Linked DNA regions of Notamacropus eugenii. The protein of the gene in region 3 purifies or fractionates together with the protein of the main gene of each other region. This does not show direct contact. Links are inferred from orthologs where the notes say so. Each region holds a gene or a part of one and is shown on either strand. Other genes may lie near its edges.

The links. The genes of interacting proteins can lie anywhere in the genome.
Region 1: the proteins of RFC4 (region 3) and ATAD5 purify together in Homo sapiens (affinity purification with mass spectrometry; 5 studies listed by BioGRID and IntAct, counting the BioPlex papers as one, with this or other methods). This does not show direct contact. The link is inferred for Notamacropus eugenii from reciprocal best matches to the Homo sapiens genes RFC4 and ATAD5.
Region 2: the proteins of RFC4 (region 3) and RFC1 fractionate together in Homo sapiens (co-fractionation; 7 studies listed by BioGRID and IntAct, counting the BioPlex papers as one, with this or other methods). This does not show direct contact. The link is inferred for Notamacropus eugenii from reciprocal best matches to the Homo sapiens genes RFC4 and RFC1.

The regions. Positions count from the first base shown.
Region 1 is NC_092873.1:311,746,741-311,753,664, forward strand, and holds the start of ATAD5 (ATPase family AAA domain-containing protein 5), read right to left. Parts: upstream 3,001-6,924; 5' UTR 2,646-3,000; coding exon 2,577-2,645; intron 1,099-2,576; coding exon 1-1,098. UniProt on the Homo sapiens protein: Has an important role in DNA replication and in maintaining genome integrity during replication stress.
Region 2 is NC_092877.1:93,501,008-93,508,491, forward strand, and holds the start of RFC1 (replication factor C subunit 1), read right to left. Parts: upstream 3,001-7,484; 5' UTR 2,814-3,000; coding exon 2,811-2,813; intron 1-2,810. UniProt on the Homo sapiens protein: Subunit of the replication factor C (RFC) complex which acts during elongation of primed DNA templates by DNA polymerases delta and epsilon, and is necessary for ATP-dependent loading of proliferating cell nuclear antigen (PCNA) onto primed DNA.
Region 3 is NC_092877.1:340,821,022-340,828,430, forward strand, and holds the start of RFC4 (replication factor C subunit 4), read right to left. Parts: upstream 3,014-7,409; 5' UTR 2,493-3,013; coding exon 2,359-2,492; intron 1,582-2,358; coding exon 1,503-1,581; intron 1-1,502. UniProt on the Homo sapiens protein: Subunit of the replication factor C (RFC) complex which acts during elongation of primed DNA templates by DNA polymerases delta and epsilon, and is necessary for ATP-dependent loading of proliferating cell nuclear antigen (PCNA) onto primed DNA.

The sequences.
Region 1 (6,924 bases), on a different chromosome or scaffold from region 3:
TGCTATAACTACATTGGATTTTCTTTTCTGAACTGTCTGTTCATTTTCAGGCTCAGGAAGTTTATTCCCAATTTCATTTTCCTTTTGTTTCAAGAAAATTGATGGTATTTTGAGAGTCCTTTTCCCTTTAATCCTTGAAATAGGCTTGGGTGGCACAGCATGAATTTGTGCAAGAACAGTCACTTTTTTAAGGGGCAGCTGCTGGGAACTTTCACTGCCTTCAGGCTCACTAGTGTTCCCACTTTTACCAACATCATCAGGAGTATCGGACATTTTTGGTCCTTGTATGTGCTCCAATGGGTTTACTTCCTGACTTCTTAAAAATTCTTCATAGGATACAGTTACCGTATTATCATTTACCTGGGCTGTGTCAGACACATGAACTCCAGGGCTGGAATCACTTGCAAAATCCACAATTTCACCAGTTTTGAGTTCTGTTTTTTGCTTATTGTCCTTGGGTTCCTTTTTGGATTGTTGGCTGGATTCTTTTTCTAATGATAAATTTCTAGTTAGGTCTTTATCATCTTTGTGCTTCCTTTTCCTTAATTTTTTGCAGTCATTTTTTGTGATGCTTTGTTCAGCGTTTACTTTCTTTCTGTCTTTTTGGGAGGACGTTGTGCTTGATTGCTTATTGTTACTCTGACTACTTTCTGAGAAGGGCTCTACATTTTTCCGAGTAAGTAAACCAGAAGTATCACTGTCACTACCCACAAAAACATTATTTAAGCTTGTTTCTTCTCTGCTGTCATCACTACTAATAATTATGGGTTCATTTTCCAATTTTTTAATATCATTAAGTTGTTGAGATAAATTAATTCTCTTTCCCCTTGACTTAGGCTCTAAATTGGAGGAATTGTTCAAAAGTGTTTTCCCTTCTTTGCTATCATCAAAATGCAATGGTTTAGATGACTGTATCTTGCATTTCTTAGCTATAGAAGACTTTTCATTTATGGGTGAAGTCCTTTTAAAATAATCCAAGATGTTATTAGATTTTGGTGGGGAGAAAACTTTGTCTCCAGTTTTCCTTATAGGTGACATATATTCAGTAATGGTTTTACAGGAAGCTCCATCATCTTCTTTCCTTTGCTTCTTGCATGGCTTTAAATTTAAAAAAGAAAAAAAACCATGTAACTAGGGGAAAATAAAATGTAAAAAAAAGAATATAAGTTCTACTTATAATAACAGTAAGAAGAAATTAATATTTTTATCTAAATAAACAAATGAATGAGTAAAAATATTTTTAGAATAGAAATTACTAATTTATGTATATCAAATAAGGAAACTACATCTGAAAAATAAGAAAACATTAGAAATACCTAGAACACAGCAACTTATATGACTTATGGACTGTTTTAGGGGAAGTCATTTGCCCCAATTTGTCTTGAAAGTTGTTGTCTTTTGAACTAGTAGCCAACCTTCTTCCAACACAGTAGTGTTAAAGGAGGTTTCTGAAGTAACGTGTATCCTTTTTGTGCCTAGTATACATTAGTAATCTGCTTATATTTAACAGAAATCAGACACCACAGTATTGGTGCCTCACTTTCTGTTTTATGTTTCATGGAGAATCTTTACAGTTCTGTTTCAAGTATTTACCTAAAGAGTTTTTAATAAGAAGCAAAACTCTAAACCAAAATTGCTTTTCACCAGTCTCATCTCTTCCAAGGTGTAAATACTAGCTGGGAGTCCAAAAGACGGGGAGTTGGGGAGAACCACTGAGCTTGATTCTAATTATCTCTAAGTAAAGTTGATGTCTGGAAACTCACATATGTTGACCAGAAGGAAAACCATTACTTGCCAAGTATTTTACATGTAACTAAACGTACAGGTGTGACAGATCAAACGGAAAGACTGCTCCAGTCACAGAAGGAAAGAAATGCTTCTCTCTCAGTTGCCGTCAGAATTCAAAACTCCCTAGAGATGTTTCACTAAGAACAAAATTCGGCCACTGCTTTCCGTCACGACCTGGCTGGGTGACCCCCTGGTCGCCGGGCCGACGTTCTCCTGGCAAAGCTGTCATTTGTGGAAGAAGGGGAAACTGGCAAAGGCAGCTTCGGTCATTTTCCCGATCACCGCCCTGCGCAGCCTTCCCTGGGGGGCCGAAGCCCCTCTTCTCGGCTAAGAGGGAAGGGTCTAGGGGTGAACGTGGGGTGGGGGGAGGCAGACCACGTGATTAAAGGCCCCCCAGAGAGACGGGCTGGGGGCTACCGGGGATGGGTGGGGATCCAGACTCCAGACCGAGTGAAGGGTCCCAGCTGCGGGGTGGAAGGGAGCTCTCATTGTATGGGCGAGGAAACTGAGGCACAGAAAGCACGAGCCACGCGTGGTGGACATCACCATCGAGATCGGCTCCGGACCCGGGGCCTCGGGGTTCCCTCCTCAGACGGGCCTTTGAGACCCCAGAGAGCATCTGTTAAGTACCTGCTGTAAGTGCAATGGGGGAAGGAAGGGTACAGCCCCCTCCCCCAGACTCGACTGTACTCCGCGCCCGCCCCACCCCCAGGGCAGTCCAAGAGCTCCGGGGCTAGCTGCCCCGGGAGGGGGGGAGCTCCCCGCCTGGGGCAGGGGGCAAGGCTCACCTGGATGTCCAAGTCCTTTCCGGGCGCTCGGGCCGGAGCCGCCGCAGCCATGGCCAGCACCCCGACCATGGTCCCCGGCTCGGCTCCCGGGCTGCCAGGCCCTCAGGAGCGGACGGCGCCGGATCCGGAGCCGGCGCGCGCGGGTACCATGACGTTCGGGACCCGGCTCTGGGGAGCGCGGGACGCGGGAAGAGACCCCAGCAGAAAGCGCGCGGACGCGGGACCCCCAAGCCAGAAGCCGTGCGCAGGCGTCTCCCCCTCCCCCCGCCAGCGGGCGACCCTCGAGGGTCTGGGCGCCTGGGCTGCACTGGGGTCCGAACTGTGGGAGGGCGGGGGGAGGGTGCAGGCGGCTGGGGAGGCCCGAGCTCCGCGGACAGAGATTCTTGTCAATTGGGTTTTCGCGCCGTCCGGGAGCGCCGGAAGCGGGGGCGGGGCAATTACGCAACGTCCGGGACGGGGAGTGGATGGCGGCCCGCGAGGGCCAGAAACCGGCGCCGTGAACGGAGGCGACCCTCGCAGTCACTCCGCCTCGCTCTGGGGTCCGAAGGTCGGGCACCCGCTGAAGGGCTGAGAGAGCGAAGGGAGTCCGGAGCCATCCGGTCAGATCCCCTCGTTTACGGAGGAGGAAACTGAGCCCCGAGGAGTGAAGGGACCTTGCCCGGGACCCTCCGGAAGGAAGCCCGCCGGCTGGCCACGGGCTCTCTGCGGGGCGTCCGCCCGGAGACCCAGACGGGTCAACCCTCTACCCGCCGCGCCCCCCAGCCCGGCAGGACGGAAGCCGCCGCCCGGAGCCCTGCAGGGCAGCTCTCCTCAGGAGCTCCTGCGTCTCCCCATCCCCCCGGGTCAATGGCAGAGCCCTCTGCGCGGCATTTAAAGCCCTTCCCAAGCTGTTTGGGGTGCTCTCTTTAATTAGCACAGATGTGCAGGGACAGCGCAGGCCGCTGCGGGGAGGCTCCCCAAGCCCCTCCCGGCATTCCCCCGCTGGACTTGCAAAGGCATAAGGCCTTAAGGTCTCGAAATCCCGGAGAGGAGTCGGTGGCCCGCAGCCCGATACCCAGCCCTCCTCCCATGCCCTCAGGTGGTTAGGAAGGTCCGAGAGAGGCAGAAGTTTTGTTCATTGTCTTTGTTACGTGCCCTCCTAGTGGATTGTCTGCGGGCCATCTACGAGAAGCGATCGGTCGGAAGGAAGGAAAAGCAGATTTCTATCGTGTTAATATTTCAGAGAGAGATTTCATTCTCTTTTTCGACACCCTGAGATCAGTATTGAGTTGGGCGCAGGGCCCCCCCATCAAGAGCTGTGTGAGCTCGGACTGAAAGAATTGGGAGCCTGATGGAAGAGCTTGATCTCTGAGGCATTTGGGAAAGTCATCTCGTGCCCACTGAAAACCCTCCAATGAAACTAGGTGGCCGATAGTAGTCAAATTATTATTTTTTAAAAAATTTAATTCTGAATGTAAATAAGAAAAAAGGGCATTTCCATATATGCAGCAGTAGACCAATAAAAAAGAAAAGGATTCTCCATGGAACTGCAACTCTCCATTTCCTAAGCTTGCTTTTCTTTAGATATATGATCAATTCCACAAGTTATTTTCAAAACTACCCTGCTTGTACTTCCATCTGAAGTACACTTCTTTATATTTTCATCTCCTCATTTTAAAAAAAGATCTTATTTTGGTTATAATAGCACTAACCCTGCCTTCATTTCCCATGATGAAAACAGAAAGAAAAAGGAACCACATCAGGACGTACAATGAGCTGCCTAACATAGTTCCTCCACAAAAATCTAGGAAATACACGAGAACAAATCTAAACACAGGCCAGGAACTTGCCAAGCTCAGACTAGGCGACAGTGATCAGACTTTGCCCTGATTTTGGCACCACTCAAAGTGTTCAGGTCCCCAGCCTGAGCAGCTCCCTGAGATCCTACAATTACTCAATAGTCAACACTCCAAGAAAGCAGTAGCAGGACCCAAGAGACTAAACCCAGACATTCTTTCCAGAATTATGAGAGCTTTGCCCTAACAAAGTCTGAAGTAAAGAAGTAGGCTGAAAGGCTGATGAAACAAACAAAAAAAAGAATCTTCCCATAAAAAGATGTCATGGTGACCAGGATGCTTAGGACACAAACCCAAAAGAAGATAATGACTCCAGAACATCTACGAGAAAACAAAAGAAAAACATAGCTTAGGCACAAGTTCAACTATAATTCATGGGGAATATGAAGCAAATAGTTTTTTTTAAAACATGTTTTTAAAATATTTTTAAAGATGTTTTCATGAATAAAATGAGAATGTGGGGGGATGGAAAAAAAGAACAAGAAAGAATTAGAAGGGGAATGAACAGCTACACGCAAGCTTACTCAAGCAACAAACTCCCCCAAAATTAGAATGAACCAAGTAGAAGTTAACAACTCCCTGAACCAACAAGAAATATCAAAACAAAGTCAAAAGATTAAAAAAATATGAGAAAATGTAAGACATTTCATAGCCAGAACAACTTACCTGGAAAACAGATTGATGAGATAATTTGAGAATCATTGAAACCTGAAAGCCATGACCCAAAAAAGAGTCTAGAGATCAAATTTCAAGAAATCATAAAAGACAACTGCCCAGATTTCTTAGATCAAGAGAACAAAGTGAAAATGGAACCCTCTGGTCCCCTTATGTAAAGGAAACACCAAAAATGAAAATTCCCAGGAACACCATATCCAAAGTCTAGAATTTTCAGGTTAAAATAAAAAAATACTGCAAGCAACAAGAAAGAAAGAATTCAGGTATTGAGGATCTATAGTCAGGGTTGTAGATAATTTAATAGCTACCACTATAGGAGAGTGGAGAGCTTGGAATTTGATGTTCCAAAAAGGGAAAGATATAGGCTTACAAACAGAATAATTTACCCACTGAAACATAATGCTAGAGGGATAAAAATAGATCTTTAATGAAATAGGGGAGTTCTAAGCATTCTTGAGGGAAAAAAAATCAAGTTGTATAGGAAAAATACAAATACAGAAGTCAAGAGAAATATGAGTAAACAATCATAATGGACTAAACAAAGATGAACTGTTTACATTTTAATATAAGGGGATGATATATGTGTCCCATCAGAACTCATCAAGAGCCATGGAGTCTAAGAAGCCAGATGGCCTGGAAGAGGTTTTGTCATGTTTTGATAGTCTTAGAAGAAGAAAGGACAGGGAAAAGGAATATACTGGGGAGGGAGAGGAATGGGGAGAAAGAGAGAGAAAGGAGAAGGAAAATTATGTATTCAGGATGCTGGAATAGAAAACTATACAAATAAGGAGGAAGAGGTTGGAGGAAGTAGGTAACACTTGACCCATACTCTTATCTGAACTGGTTAAAAGAGGGAAGAACATGCAAACACGATTGGGCACAGAAATACATTTCACTCAACAGGGTAACAGGAAGGAAAGGGAAAAGAGAGAAAGGATAATAAAGAGTATTTAAGGGAGGGATTAACCCTAACCAAACCAAACACTAAGATAGGTAGAACAGATTATGAAGTTGAAAAGAAAAAAAAAGAAAGAGAACCTGTGAGAGGGCTCTGTGTGAAGGAAAGAGAAGAGGGGCAGGAGAGCAGAAGCAGACTATACCAAACCTAGGCCACTGGTGCTGAGCACATTCCTCCTCTCTCACTACCTCCTTATTAGGGGTGTGGTGTGTATGTGTGTGGGGGAAACATGGAAAGATATAAAAGGATAGGATGAAAGGAAATATGCAATTAATGATCCCAACTGTCAATGGAAATGGGATGAAATCACTCATAAAACAGAAGAGAATAGCAAAATGGATTAGAAAGCAGAATCCAACAATATGTTGTTTACAAGAGAAACATATTTGAAACAGGTTCACACGGAGTTAAAATAAGAGGTGTGAGCAAATCATGCTTGAACTGAAGTAAAGACTTAAGAACTCTGATCAATCCAATGATCAACCACAGTTTCATAGGTTTGATGATGAAGCATGTACCCAACTCCTGACAGAGGGGTGATAGATTCATGGTACAGAATGAGACATACATTTTGGATATGACCAATGTGTTTTTGCTTTACTATGCATATGTATTACAAGAGTTTTGTTTTTCTTTTTCATCAGCAAGGAGGAAAATGGGCAGAAGAGAAAATTAATGTTTGCTAGCTGACAAAAGATAAACTAAAATAAAAATTACATAAAATAAACTAAACCAGTCAGTGATAACTACTGTTCTTGACTAAGAGACTTAGACTCATTAAAACTAAGTGTGAACTTTGCAGAACCACTGTTTATAGACATTTTATATTTCACCTTGGTTCTGCATTGTTTCCTTCAAAGTCAGTTTCTTTAGGTAAGCT
Region 2 (7,484 bases), about 250 Mb from region 3:
ATGCAACTGAAAATCTTATTTAATAGACCAATTTGCTATTATCTCCCTTTTAAAAAGGTACAAACAATAAGAAAACAAATAAACGAGCATCAAAAGAAAAGAGCTTCAATAAGAAAACTAAACCCAAATTTATGTCAGTATGCTAATCTTTTCTATCAGACTGCTAACATCATTGGGCTCTACAACATCCCTCAAAATTATCTTCCATGATATATTCTACAATGCAATATAAAGCATATCATTTGGGAAAGTATACTTCAAAAGATAGTGATGATTATATGACTGTAATGAACTATTGGTATACTGTAAGAAATAGTGAATATGATCAATACAGAGAAGCACGGGAAGACTTGCAGAAACTAATGCAAAGAGAAGTAAATAGAATCAGAAAAGCAATAAACAATGCTTACAATACATAATAAAACACAATAAAAATAACAAACTTTAGAATATGATCTCCCTTGCTCACTGACAAAAAAGATTCCATATACATCAAAATTTATAGCAACACTTTGTCTTAGTAAAGAACTGGAAACAAAACAGATGCCAATGAACTGAGGAATACCTAACAAATTGTGATACATAAATGTAACAGAATCTAGAAGATGCAAAAGCAAAAGATAAAAAAAACCACTTTTTTAAAAAAATGTGACCACCTCAAGGGCAGGAAGTGATTTTGCCTTTCTTTCTATTTTCATACTTAACACAGCAGCTAGCTAGCACACGGGGCTCCTTGACTAACTGAAATCTGTGAAAAGGATAATAGCGACCTCCAAACATAGTTATGAGAAGACTCCTGCCTTCCCACTCTGTGCCAGAGGCTTGGGATTATGGAGAATGGAACACTGAAGATGATGCCATACTTTTTTTTCCATATGTCTGCTAACTTTGCTGTACTGTGTTTCGCTCTTTGAAAGGAGAAGGGGAGAAAGATACAGCAGACAACAAAAGTGATGTATCTCCTTCTGAGGACCTGATTTTCTTCACTCTTAAAGAAACATTATCACTTTCAGGACTTTAAGATAATGTCACTAAAGACAAATGAAAAGATATTCGGCAGAAACAAGGGAATTCAAGAGATAAACAGGCAAAATTATTGACCTAATAAATACTGCTTATTGAAATGAGACAACATATATAAAAGGGTCTATAAACCTTAGAGCACTGTATAAATAGGAGCACTGAGTAAAAAAAAGAAATATAGGGGATACAAAAAAAGTAGCAATAAAATTTACTTTTAAAAAAAAGTGGTGCTGATCATTTAATAGTTAAGTTTACTCTTTTTTCAAAAAGAAATCCAAGCATTGGAATGGACAAAGCTTCTCATTCTAGTAAAGTGTTTATATATAAATTATTCTTTTACCTCAGAAAAATTGGCATGTTGAAAAATGAGCTGTGGAATACCTGGCAGCATCAGATAGTTTTTTTTTAACTTCAGGGAGTTTTATAAGTTCACTTTCTAAATTAAAATGTTTTAACAGCTACTACTGTCTGAGTGGAGTCATGCGACAACCCTCTTTTGCCAAGCGTGTGACTGTTTCATAGATGGTATAGTATATACAACATAGTTTCATAGTATATAGTGTATAGATAGTATATTCATAGATGGTATAATATACTATCTATACTATATACTATCTATACACTATATACACTACATAGTATACACAGATTTATGAGTTAATTTTTTTAAGCATGATGTCAAGTTTCAAAGAGGGTATAGTGGAAGGAAAACCGGACTCAGAGCCGGAAGACCTGAGTTCCAATGCCAGTTCTGCTACTTACTAGGTCTCCACTGGGGCAAACACCTAACCAGTTTCTCTATTCCTCAGTTTCCCTTTTTTCTAAAAGCGGTCAAAATCATCTCTTTCGCTGCTACCAGCTCTCAACCACGAACCTGGATAATGAGATGGGATCGCGGCCGTCCACTTTGTTTCTGGTAACCACAACACAACCTACTGAGTTTCTACCCACTTTTCCAAGAACACATCATGTCAACACTGATTTTTCCTACGATGGCCCGAGCAGCCCAGCCACAAAAGCCCAACACCAAGCGGCACGAGGGAGCTCCCAGGGCTGCCTGCTGTCTCCTGGCTCCTCCCTGTGTCCTCAGCACTGAGTAGGGAGGGCAGGAAGGAACGCTAGCTGCTGTTGGGTTTGTCAGTGGTGTTACCGTGTTACCGATGACGGCCGTACTACGAACGAAACAACAAGCGTCAGGAGTCAGCATTTCCGCGGCCCTGTTGAGGGTTCTGCCAAGCCCTCCGCACACGTTATTTCAATAGATGCTCGGAACAAACCTGGGAGGGGGTGCTACTAACGTTGGGAACGTCCTCGTTCTGCAGGGGAGGAAGCCGAGCCGGAGAGCAGTGCCTGCCCCGTTATCCCCGGGCAACAAGCTGCCTACGCGGAGGCTTAGGGGACCCCCCCCCAAGAAGCTGGGATCCAAAGGACAAAATCCATCCTTCCTCCCCGCCCCGTAAGAAAAAAAAACCTCCTCCCCCTCCCCACCCTGGGGGGGGGCGCAAAACTCCCGCCTAACAGCAACAGCCCTGTGCCCCAAAGAGGGGGCGCCTCCAAATTCCATTCCGCTCCCCGCCTCCCCCTCCGGCCCAAGGGTGGGGGCCCTGGAGAAGGGCCCCGGCCAGGGGTGGAGGGAAGGTCGGGGGTCCTGCCCTCCTCACGAATCACCCCCCTGCCCTGGGGCTCCCCCGACTCCGTCCCCGCTGCCCCACACACCAATGCCCCCAGTCCGCCCGCCGGCCGGGGGAGGGGAAGGAAGGCGCGGTGGCAGAAGCTCCACTGCTCACCATAACTGTCCGGAGAGCGGGCGGCGGGGGACACTGGGGCAGAGCGGCCAACGGCGGCGGAAGACCCTTAACAAGGTTCGGGCTACATTCGCGCCAACAAGTTCTCCCGCGAAATAGGGGCTGGGACGGCGGCGCCGCGTGATGACGTAGGAGCGCGCTGCGTACGCTCGCGGTGAGCTCGCGAGACTGGCCTCTAACTCTTGGCTAGCCCGGGACTCCGCGCAAGCGCACTGGGGCGGAGGGGGGCTAGGCAGCAGTCTTGGGCCCTGCCCTCAGGGATCTTACGTTCAAATATATGAATCGAGTAATTATGAACGTACAAACTACGTATAGTGTACCAGGAGAGTCTCTGGCAACAAACATTTATGAAGGGTTTCCTGTGTGCCAGGTAGCGTGCTGAGCTCCGGGGCCACCAAGGAAAGGGAGCTCGGAGTCCAGGCGGAGACCACGTGCAAGCCCCAGGACCACAAACCAGAGGCGGAGGGAATAAAGTGGAGATCCCCGGGGCAGGAAGCAGCCGGAAGGCCGGGGGAGTCTGCCTGCGGAAGGCCGCAGTCCTGGGCTGTCCTCCCCTCCCAGCACGCTGTCGGGTGGGTGAGGCCTGGACTGCGGCCTCGTTGGACTTAAGGGAGGCAGAGTGCTCAGCCTTCCCCCCCTTCCAGTGCGCTCATCCGCCCAGTGCCCGAGGCTGGGGCTAGACGCCCCCTAATTCCCCAGCGTGGTGCCCCTCCCCCTGGCTTAGCCTCTCTGCCCAGACTCCTCTATCAGGGTGTGGCCTCCGCAGGTGGGAGCTGAGTACCAGGTAGATGGCGGAGGTGTCTGAAAAGGGCTTGGCAAGCCCCCAGCGGATGCACCCCGAGAACTTCAGCTATAACTTGAAGGAAGCCAGGAAAACCAAAAGGGGGAGAAGAGGGGAAAGACGTTCCAAGAAAAGGGTGAAGATGCCCAGACGCTAACTGGCACTAGCATTGTTAATGATGCTTAGAATCGGTATAATTATTTTGGAAAGCAATTTGGAATTAAGCAAAAAAAAAAAAATTGCTATCCTACTCCTGGACCCAGAGTTTCCATTACTAGGCATGTACCCTAAGATAGAAGGGGTATGTTAGCAGTGCCTAATAGATAGAGCACTGGACCTGCAGTCTGAATGTTGTTGTCATTCAGTCATGTCCAGCTCTTTCTGACCTTATTTGGGGTTTTCTTGGCAAGGATACTGGACTGGTTTTCCAGTTCCTTCTCCAGCTCATTTTACAGAGGAGGAAGCGGAGACAAACAGGATTAAGTGTATTGTCCACAGTCCCACAGCTAGTGTCGGAGGCAAAATTTGAACTCATGGAGATGAGTCTTTTATGCTATGTTAAGACATAGATCCTGGGTTAAATACTGCAACCAGTTTGTATGCATGTAATTCAAGATTTTATTGAAGAGACTTTATGTTCCAGAACTCAGTGCAATTAGTATGCGTTTATCTGTGAAAATAAAAATATTGGTGCAGAACCTTGCCTTTAATAGGAAATATAAACAATAAATAGTAATAAAATCCCTTATTTCCATAAAATATGCAGAGAAAGGGAAAGCATTGCCCTTTTGAAATAACTGTCAAATGATTAGAACACAACAGATAAATATTGAACTCTGATTTCCCTTTACAAGTGGTTCAATTAGTGTTTTAGTGTCAAATTAACTGAAATGAGCAGTGTAAGTTCTTTGTGTGTAAATGCCTCTGCCTCAGTGAAAGTATCAGTATAATAAAGATAAAACTTATCTACAACCACTTGAAGTCCTCTTTCCTTTCAGAATAGGTCACATTTACAGAATTTAAAAATTCAAAAAACAGAAACAACTGAGAATTTGTATTCATTTTGGAATTTTCATTCTGCAACAATAATTGTAACTTCCTGTCCTCTGGATGAATATTAGCATGTTATCTGTTTATTAGAGCATTTTCCTTATAGAAAAAGTTGATTAGCCAGCTTGTCATTTTCTGTGTTTGTGGTGACTGCAGATCCAAACCAATAAACAGCAACTGTATAATCTATTTATGCATAAAAAGAATCATTAGGTCACAATCTATCACTATTAGAGTTCATGCATTGTAATTTAGGAAATTAAGTACTAAGTATATCATTTATCTTAATTCAAATTGATGTCCAAATAATCTTCTTAATGTGATTATGTGTGAGTAATCTGGATATGTATGAACTTGCCTGATAGTTGACTTCTTATATCATAAGAATGTGTATTCCATCTTCTTACAAATGAAAAACAGAAAGTTTTCCCAGATATAACTGTGGGTTTTACTTGGAAGGTAACTAATAACATGAAAAACATGTGGAACACTAAGATTTAACCAAAAGTACATAATCTTGAATGATGGTATATTCCATTGGTTATGTTTTTAAGGTTTGTGGGGTTTTTTTGTTCCAAACCCATGATTTCATCAGTGTATTGACATCCCCATGCAGAAACTTCCTCCACCAAATGAAGATGTGTAACTCATCCCTAATTTACAGTTTTGGAGGATCAGTTTGGGGTAGAAAGATTTAGTGCCTTGCAATGGTAAAGAAACAAAGGGCTATCAAAGCCAGCTCTGCATGACTCCAAAGGTAGACCCCTCTGTATCACACAATGCTGCCTCTCTACTGTCTTGATACATATGTATAATGTTTCTCAAACTAGAGGTCAGGTCAAGTTTCAGGAGATATGTGGAGAATGGATTCTTAATAATTCCAGTGAACATTTGAACATGAACAAGGTAACCTAACTTTCTACTACATAGGCAGAAGATTTTCTCCATGTTTTTTAAATCTACTGCAAAGGACTGCACTATAGAGACTATATTAGGACCTGGAGAGTCACCAATACCATTGAGAGTCACAAAATGAAAAGACTTGAATAACCCTGTTGAAGTTTATACAACATTGTAAAAGAAAAACAATTTTGAAAGACTTAAGAATTGGGTTCAATACAGTGACTAAACATGATTCCAGAGGATTGATGAGGAAGCATGCTAGATCTTGTAACAAAAAGGTGATGAACTCAAGAATGAAACATGTTGTCTATATTTTTACTGTATACATACACATTTTCAGATAAAATCAATGTTTAGCTTAATTATATGTGTTTTTGTTACGGTTTTTTTAATGGAAGAGGAGAGATTTTCAAGGGAAAGAGGAGTAGCAGTAGGGTTGACCCCCAAAAATAGGAAAGAAAAGAGAGTCATTGACACTTTTTTAAAAATACGCAGAAGAGAACAAAAGGAAACACAGACTAGCAGGAAAGCTTTGGAAGTTATATTTTCTTTTTTGATAAGCTTACTCTATTATTAGCTGAAACGAAAACTATAGATATAGTTTAGCTAAATTTTAACAAAGCTTTTGATAAAGTATCATGTGCTATTCTTGTGAAGAAGATAGAGGGATATGGACTAGATGATAATACAATCAGATGATTTCAAAACTGGTTGAATGACCAGACTCAAAGAATAACTTAATTGTTCAAATGGCAGTGTGGCAAGGGATCTACAGTGAAGTACCCTTGGCATCTCTTGACCTTATACTTTTCAAGATTTTTATCAATGACTTTTGAAAAGGTATAAATTGCATTTTCATCAAATTTTCAGATAAATATGGGAGAGATAGGTACTACAGTATATGACAGAGTCAGCTTCCCAAAGGATCTGGAAAGGCTAGAACTTTGGATTGAATCTAAGAAGATGAAATCCAATAGGAATGAATGTAAAATTTTGGACTTGGGCATAAAAAATCCACTTCATAAAGTATATGAATGGAGAGAAATTGTGCTTTAAAAAAGATCTAGGAATTTTAGTGTACTACAAGGTCAATATGACTCAACAGTGGTGTGACTTTCAGGAATAGGGATATGATAGTACCGCCGCATTCTGCTCTTCTCAGAACTCATCTGGTTGAGTTCTAGACACCACAATGTAAGAGCAAAGATAATCTGGATAATTTCCAGAGAAGGGTAACCAGTATGTTGTAGCATCTTGAATGCATTCTATACAAGGCTCAGTGGAAGAAACTGAGTATGTTTAGGTAAGAGAAGAGAAGATTCCAAGGGAATATGACTGTTACCTTGAAGTATTTGAAAGGCTGTCATGTGGAAGAGTGACTAAAGCCCAGAGGGTAGAGAGGAAAGCCAGGAACAATGAGTCAAAGTAGTACAAAGGTGAATTTAGTCTCAATATTTGGGAAAACTTCCCAACAATTAAAGTGAGTTGGACTTCCTAGAGAAGTTACCCTTCTTTGAAAGTCTTCAAACAAAGGCTGAAGGACTATTTGTTGAATATGTTATAGTTGGGATTTTTTTATGTGTATGGATTGGGCTATAGAGCTGTTGAGGGGCCTTCCCTTTCTGTGATTTTGACATTCTGAATAGAAGAAAAAAGCAAGTTGTATATACATTATACAGATTCTCATGGTATCATTTATAGTCCTCCTTTCCTCTTCTACTTTGTATATGGAAATGTTTATTTGATTTGGTGTTTGTTAAATTCTGAATTTTAAAAATCAATTAAAAATAAAATCACTGCTAAAAAAGGGAATAATTGTTTAAAAAAGAATAACTGCACTATTATTTGAAAATGTTACTATAATGAATCCTACCTAGAACTTTTCTCTCCACTTCAATCATATTTGGTAAAGCAGTATTCTA
Region 3 (7,409 bases):
CTGAGGCCGGCTGTCTCTTCATCACACCATGCTTCCTCTCAGCAGGTACAAACTGAACTAAATGGATGCTTTTGTCCCTTCTAATTCTGAGGTTGTAATTTTGTGAGATATACTTCTCACAATAACTTAAAGCTTCTCCACTCACCCACCCACAGAGAAGCAATTCAATGCTTGGGGGTGGCGGGTGATGGCCTGAAGAAGGGCATCACTCTGCCTCCTTTGTCCTCTACTTCCAATGCCCTCACTTCTAAGTGAGTCCAAAATACACGTGTTCCAGCTCCTCCTCCAGGTATTCTCTGTCCTGCTCTACCCTGTGGAAGGTGAGCATGTGGGGTGGTAGAGGGTAGAAAACAGACAGTAACTGGCTTCTTCTGTCAGGGGCTGAGTCTCCCCCTTAGGCCTTTCACTGTGCTATTCAGAAATAGCACTGACAAGCTGTGCTGAGTAGGAACTACATAAAGTAATGCTTACTTACACTTTTCAGTTGCATTTTATTGCTGAACCAGAGGTCTACTTTTTTAAACAGAGTCTATTTAAGAGACTAAGGTCTATGACAGGCCTATCCAAATTTAAGGGCTACATTGAAGTGCAGACAAACTGTTGTCTCCTGTCTCTGTATGTTCTCTCCCCCTTAGCAATGTCACCTGCTGCCTAGACATGGTCTCCGAGACCATGGTTTTAATTATGGCTCTGCCACTTACTCCTTAGGTGTCCTGTCATTCAACTTCTCTAGGTCTCACCGTTCATTTCTGTGGGTCTTGACTCCCAAACTGGAAGGAAAGATTCTCAAGTGAAATAACTATTCCTAGACTTCTTAGTATCTACGCAGAAGCCCTGGTTTGGCTCTGTACATAGATTGGGCATTCACTAAAGTCGTGCTGAATCAAACTACACTCCAACCCAAATCCTGAAGTTAGCTGGTAGATACTCCCAGGAAATGCTGTCCTGTCATTCTCTCAACCCACAACTAGTTAATAAATACATACCATGGGCCAGGCCCTAGGGTGGAGAGAAAGAGTGTCATCAGGTGAGACAATATCTTAGAAAGCTATGGTTATGAAGAGTGTGCTCTAAACCCCAAGACTGTGGTGAGGACCAAATGAAACACTGTTTGTAAAGGACTTGGCACAATACCCAACGCATAGTGGGTGCTACACAAATGCTAGCGATTAATAATCGATGGAACTGTCAAGCTGGATCCCATGGAGCCACCACCCACTGGCTGGGAATTTGGACATTCAGTAGGAGGAGCCGGTGGTCGGACAACCTGAACAGAGACAGAAATGGTGTAAATGGTGTGTGCGTCTGTTCTGGGGTTCTTGACGGGACGGTTGCGTGATCAACGCAAATGCCTGGGTTATCTGTGTTCTCATGGTGATCATTGGACACAGCTACATGGAAGTGTAAATTGTTCTGATGATGCCAAGGACTTGGTATGAGAAGTATCAATCCCACTCTAGGAAAACATTTCCAAATGATAAGTTAAACAAGGTTCAACTCACGTCTGCTCCTTGTAAAGATTTCTTCAACACTGCAACTACCTCTTCCTGAAAAGCAACTTCATCCACACATTTGGGACGGCTGGGGAGAAAAAAATTGGCATTTTGTTGTTAGCAGAGACACTGAAAAGTTCCATGTGTTAGTAGTTGCTAAGAAGTCAATTACAGTCCTTGATACGTACTAACAGAAGGGGCAGAGGCAGACTTAGGAAGTGGAGCCAGGAAGGACAGGGATGTATTGTTACTGTTACAAAGAGATGTGCAGGGACGAGGATTTCCTTATACTTTCTAACTAGTTGGTCTGTCACATTGTAACATCAAAGTAAAAGGTTTTTCCAGCCTTTGTCGATCAGTTTGTGCCTGACTCTTTAGGAACCCACGTGGGATTTTGAGGGCAAAATTCATTTTACAGTCGAGGAAACTGAGGCAAACGGTCACATGGCTGGTGAGTGTCTGAGGCCTTTCTGGATGCAGACCGGTGCTCTGCCCTGTGCACCACCAGGCCGCCCTTACTACAAAAATCAGGTGAGACGTCTTGTCCAAAAGCAGTGTAGTAGCGCGGTCCCAGGAGCTGGGCAGGGGCGGCCACAGCGCTGGTGCCCCGCCAGGCGATCCCAGGGGCCCGGATTACACCGACATAGCCCCGGCCGGCGGGGCACGGCCTCGTGGGGGGCCCCGGGGCCCGTATGTCCACGCCGAGGGCGGCGCCAGGGGCCCAGCACCCCAGGGCGAGCCAGCCTACGGGAAAGTGCGGCTCTGCCGGCCTGGTAAAGTGCCGCTTCCGGCCACCAGCGGCCCAGAGTCGGCTCGGCCGGGCCCACGCGGGGCCGTGACGGCGGGGGGGGGGCGGGGCTCTTACTATTTCTCCACCCAAGGCACGGGCTTGGCCCGGCGGCTCTCGGCGCTGCTGCCCGCGGGGGCTGCGGCTCCTCGATCCTTCGTGGGCGGCGGCTTGGTGCTGAGGGAGGCGGGCCCCTTGAGGAAAGCCTGCATGGCCGCTTGGCCCTGCCCGGGGAAGGCCGGGAGGCGGGATCTGTCCGGAGCCTCCGGGCACGCGCCCCGGGGACCACCCGATAGTGGAGCTGGAGACCCGGGGAGCCGAGTCACGCACACAGGACGAGGGCGGCGGCGGTTGCCCTCCGGCCCTCCCTGGACAGGCGCTGAACGACCGGGCCCGGGGTTGCTGTCGGGAGGCCGCTGCCCGCTCCCGGTCCTGGTCCCTTACGTCTCCTCTCACTCCTGGGCGCCCAGGCTCCCGGTTCCCGCCACCGAACAGCCTGCTGGGAGCTGGCACATCACTTCCGGTGAAGGAGGGGCGACCAAGCTGGGAGGCCGTGAGCTCAGGCGGGGGTTTGGGAGGGGATCGGCTGTCCCTGGAGGGCTGGGACACGCCGTGGTTTTGCCTTTCTTTATGTCTTCATCGCTTAGCAAAGACGGCTCAATAAATGCTCGTGTATCGACCGTCACTGTCCCGCAGAAGTGCTCGGAGCCGGCCTGGAGCCCTTCTCAAAGATGGCTTCGAGGAGGGCCACGCCGCACCAGCACGCATGCGCTGGTTTCCTCTCACCCTCCCGCCCCGCATGCGCAAGATGCTCTGAATGTCTCCCTGCTGGCTCTGGGGCTCGACTCTGTGAAGGCACTGACGGCTGAGACACGTACTGGATATTTTTGTGTCAAACAGGACGGCCTGTTTGGGAAGCGTCACGTGCGTCTCTCCCCGATGCTAAGAGCGGGCAGGGGGAGTCGAGGAAAGGGTTTCTGTGCTCCCCCTACACTCTGGGCATTCTCCCTCCTAGCCCGCTAAACTTGCCTCCCCGTCCCGCCCCGCCGCAACACCTTCTGATTGGTCCTACCTCAGATCCCCAGGGCCAATCGGAACAAGGACCCGAGCCCCGCCCCCATCTCGTCCAAGCCTGCGGCCTCGGTTAATACCTTGCCCTCCAGGTTATCTGGCTCCTCTGTTTCCTTCTGAACTCCCTCTTGTACCTTAAAGAAAATGCTTCAGTGGCCCTTTCCTTCCATCCGTCAACACTATCACTTACTCCTCTCCAAATGGCCTTCCCTCGAGGAGAGAGCGCGGTGGGCGCTGCCCGAGCTGTGGTTTCTGGCCTTTCACGTCTCTGGACCAAAGGCCAGCCCGGGGCCCCTTCCAAGCCAGAGAGAGAAGAGGCTCCCGGAGAGATGAGTTGGGCCTGTGGGAGAATGTGAACAAAATGCTAAAACAGATTTTAGTTTACGTGGAAGCTTGGTCCCGTCTTGACAAAGGTCGGTGACTTCTGGGATCCCGAATGTTGAGAGCTGGGAGAATGGTAACTCAAAATCAGAATATGCACAGGGCCCCCTCACAAACCATCTAAGGCTGTCCAGCGGGCATCCCATGACTGGGAAAGGTCCTAAGCTAAGGCATCAGATTCCTCTGCCGACTGGAGACCTATAGCCAGCCGCCTGGGAATATAACACTCAGGCCGGAGGCAGTTTGGCCCAGACCCCCACCACTGTCGCTGGAGTCACTCTATGCCCAGAGCCTGGGGTATTTCCCATACTCTCCTTCTGAAATTTATGAAGTTTTTGTAGAAGTGTGCAGCTACAATCACCCACAGATCGTTTATCTTCCTGTGGCAGAAAAAAAAAGAGGAGTTATTGATGAAAGGGGCTAGGAATCCAATGATGTTGACTTGTTAATTTCTGGACTCGTACTGGCAGCAAAACAGCCCCACTCCCAAGGCTGGGTGCCCGCACGTGGCAGCCTGGGGACTCCTGGCATTGTAGTAAAAGGTGCTGACACTCTCCTATTTTCAGGTTGGGGATGAAGTCCCAAAATGCCCCTTCTGATCAAGGTCAAGGAGTGGTCTTTGTTGCAGAGCCCCAAGAATTTCAAACAGCAGACATGCTGACCTCTGTTGGATGTCAAGGCCATGGCTCAGGGCAAAGGAGGCCCAGTGCAGAAAGGAAGAAAGGACTACAAATGTCTGATATTTTTATTAGGACCATGATCATTGTTAAGAGGCCTCACACTAAGCTGATCTAGCTACAGGATTTATTGATAAGACCCAGGAATGAATTTGCTAGGTCAGTGACTAGACAAGTCACTTAACCTGTGTCTGCTTTAGTTTCCTCAATTGTAAAAATAACACCTACTCTGCAGGATTGTTGTGAGGGTCAAATGAGATAATATTTGTAAAGTGATATGCAAACCTTAAAGGGCTATTTAAATTCTAGCTTTTATCATTATGATAAAAGGGATTCATTAGCCACACTCACTCCTCTCAGAGTACAACACTCAGACTTTCTTCACTGTGCTGTATCTCTGCTCTTTGGTGTCAGAGTGCAAATAGTAGGCAGAAGGAGTTGGTCTACGCTTTGGAATTCTTATCTGGAGGTAGACATAGGGAGAAGAGTCTTTAATGAATGCCCTGATGCTAGGGTGAGCACAGAGATTGACAGGCAGGCTTCCTAGGTAAGAGGGGGCTGCAGGTTCAGATCTTCATCAGCCATTCTGAATTCTTATATTAGTGTACTGCCTCTGCTCCAGATACAGGGGCCTGGGTCTGCTCAGCCTGCACACCCAATCATACTGATCCTCAAAGGCCTGATTACAAAATAAGTTCTCAGTAAATACAGACTGTGAGGGAAAGAGGAACATATGACACACATGGTATATTTCCACCAGTAATAGTCTGACCTGCCAGTCAAAGTAAACAGTAGACAGAAACAGCTAGAATAATGGATGAATTCCTAAGAACCTTTGAACACAACATGAAAGCTTCCTGTATTTATCCTTATCTAGACTACTTGTATTTGTTGTTTTGAAAGACGCACTGGGAAAGGGGGCAGCTAGGTGGCACAGTGGACAGAGCAAGAGGTGTTTTTAGGAAGACTTGAGTTCAAATTCAGCCTCAGACATTTACTAGTTGTTTGACCCTGGGCAGGTCATTTAAACTCTGCCTCAGTTTCCTCATCTGTAAAATGAGCTAGAGAAGGAAATGGCAAACCACTCCAGTATCTCTGCCAAGAAAACTTCAAGTGGGGTCACAGAGTTACATATGACTGAAAATGACTGACCAACATCAAAGGCCTTTCAGACTACTGTTCTGCAGGCCTTGCCTCACTTCTCAGGTCCAGATAATCTATAACCAGGAGTGGAGAGACATCATGGAGCATGTGGCCTCCATGTTTTTTTTCCACCAGATTCATTTACATACAGTCAAAAGGCCCATAATTGGAATGCATGTCAGGCTGTATCTGCTCTTTGGAATCCTGGCCTGGATCTGCGGTCTCCCCTTTACCTGTCTCCACAGAGAATCCCAGGTTTCTGGGCATCTCTAATTAAATCTTTACTACCTGCCACCCCAACCCCAGGGCCAATGGCCAGCCAGTGCCAGCTAGGTTGACCTGGAATCAGCCTAGAGTCATTCAACTCCAGGGGAGGTCACGGAGAACTTCGGAGAATAGAGGAAAGGGATAATGTTGGGAGAAAGCTCAACCTTTATGCTAGAAGAAATGACATCCCCTCATCTCATAGGAAGTGAATGACTGTCTAGCTGCAGCTTGAAGACTTCCAGGGATGGAAGCAGCCACCCATTCTTCTTTGGGGTGGCTCCAACTGTTAGAAAGTTTCTTACATCAAGCCTCCACTTGCCTTTTCATTCACTACTCCCTAGTTCTGCCTCTGGGCCATTTAGAACATTTCTGATTTCTCCCCCATAGACCAGCCCTTCAAACACCTGAAAAAAGCTCTTACATCCCCCAGCCCTCTCTTCTTCATTTTTCTAGCAGATCCTCATGAGACATGGAACCAAGGCCTCCCCACCATCCCTAGCTATCCTGCCCAGTGATGAATGCCCAGAATGGAACATGTGTGTCCAGCTGTGGCCTAGCCATGACCTGTATCAAAAAAGACTATCACTTCCTTATTCCCAGAAACCACACCTCCTCATGCAGCTCTGGGTCAAATTTTAGGCTGCCTCAGGACTTCTACCAAGTAGGCAATCTGCTCTTTTTCAAACAAATGGCTCTTTGATCATGAGCAGAGGGCACCATCTGAGCAAAGGTTTTTTTTACCTTCAACATTCCGACCTACTTGCCCAGTCAGATCAATGACCGCCCTCCAGGAGAGGCCTTCACCTGAACCTGCTTTGTAACAGGCTACTTTGTTCTGGTCTGTCTTAATCTTGAACCTTCTGAGTTTGTGCTATCCGGTGCAATGGAGAAAAGGAAGATGATGCTTATGGGGCAAGGGGTCATGCACTGACGAACCTTCAAAGCTGCCAACTCAAACATTCATATATTTTCTTACTGGATAAGACAAAAGTGGGAACAAAAGGTCAAAAATGCCTCCTTATTCTTAATTTCTGGTTCACTGGGAATTTTTCTTCTGTATTTGTCCTTGGCCCTGCCTGTCCTGTCTTTCTCTTTTTTAAGTTGGGGGTGTTGAGTGGCGTAGAACATTGCTTCTCAAACTCAGATACAATCCAGACCCTGTCTGCCCACCCCCCAAAAGCCCTGGGTTCACAGGTCCTAGGGCTGACCCCTAAAGGTTATTTTCTCTGGCTCATTGCCTCCATCCAGTTTACCGTGGTAAACTCTCCATATATCATTTATAAATAGGCCATGCCTAAGTTTCCACAAATGCAGGTAACAAGGGGCCCAGTTCTCATATAAACACACAAACCAATAAGTGTATATCAGATAGAGTACAGTTTTAATTTTACCTAATAAAAAATGCAGAAAGCACAAAGAATTTGAAAGAGCCCACAAAGCCATAAATAAGAGTAGCAGCTCCCTTCTGAACAAAGTAGAGTGGCACGGACATTCTAAGAAATCCTCAGATCTCTGCCACAGCCCTATATAGTATCCTCCCTCCCCCTTCCCAACCTGCTACATCCCCTGCAGTTTGGACTCTTCCCAGAA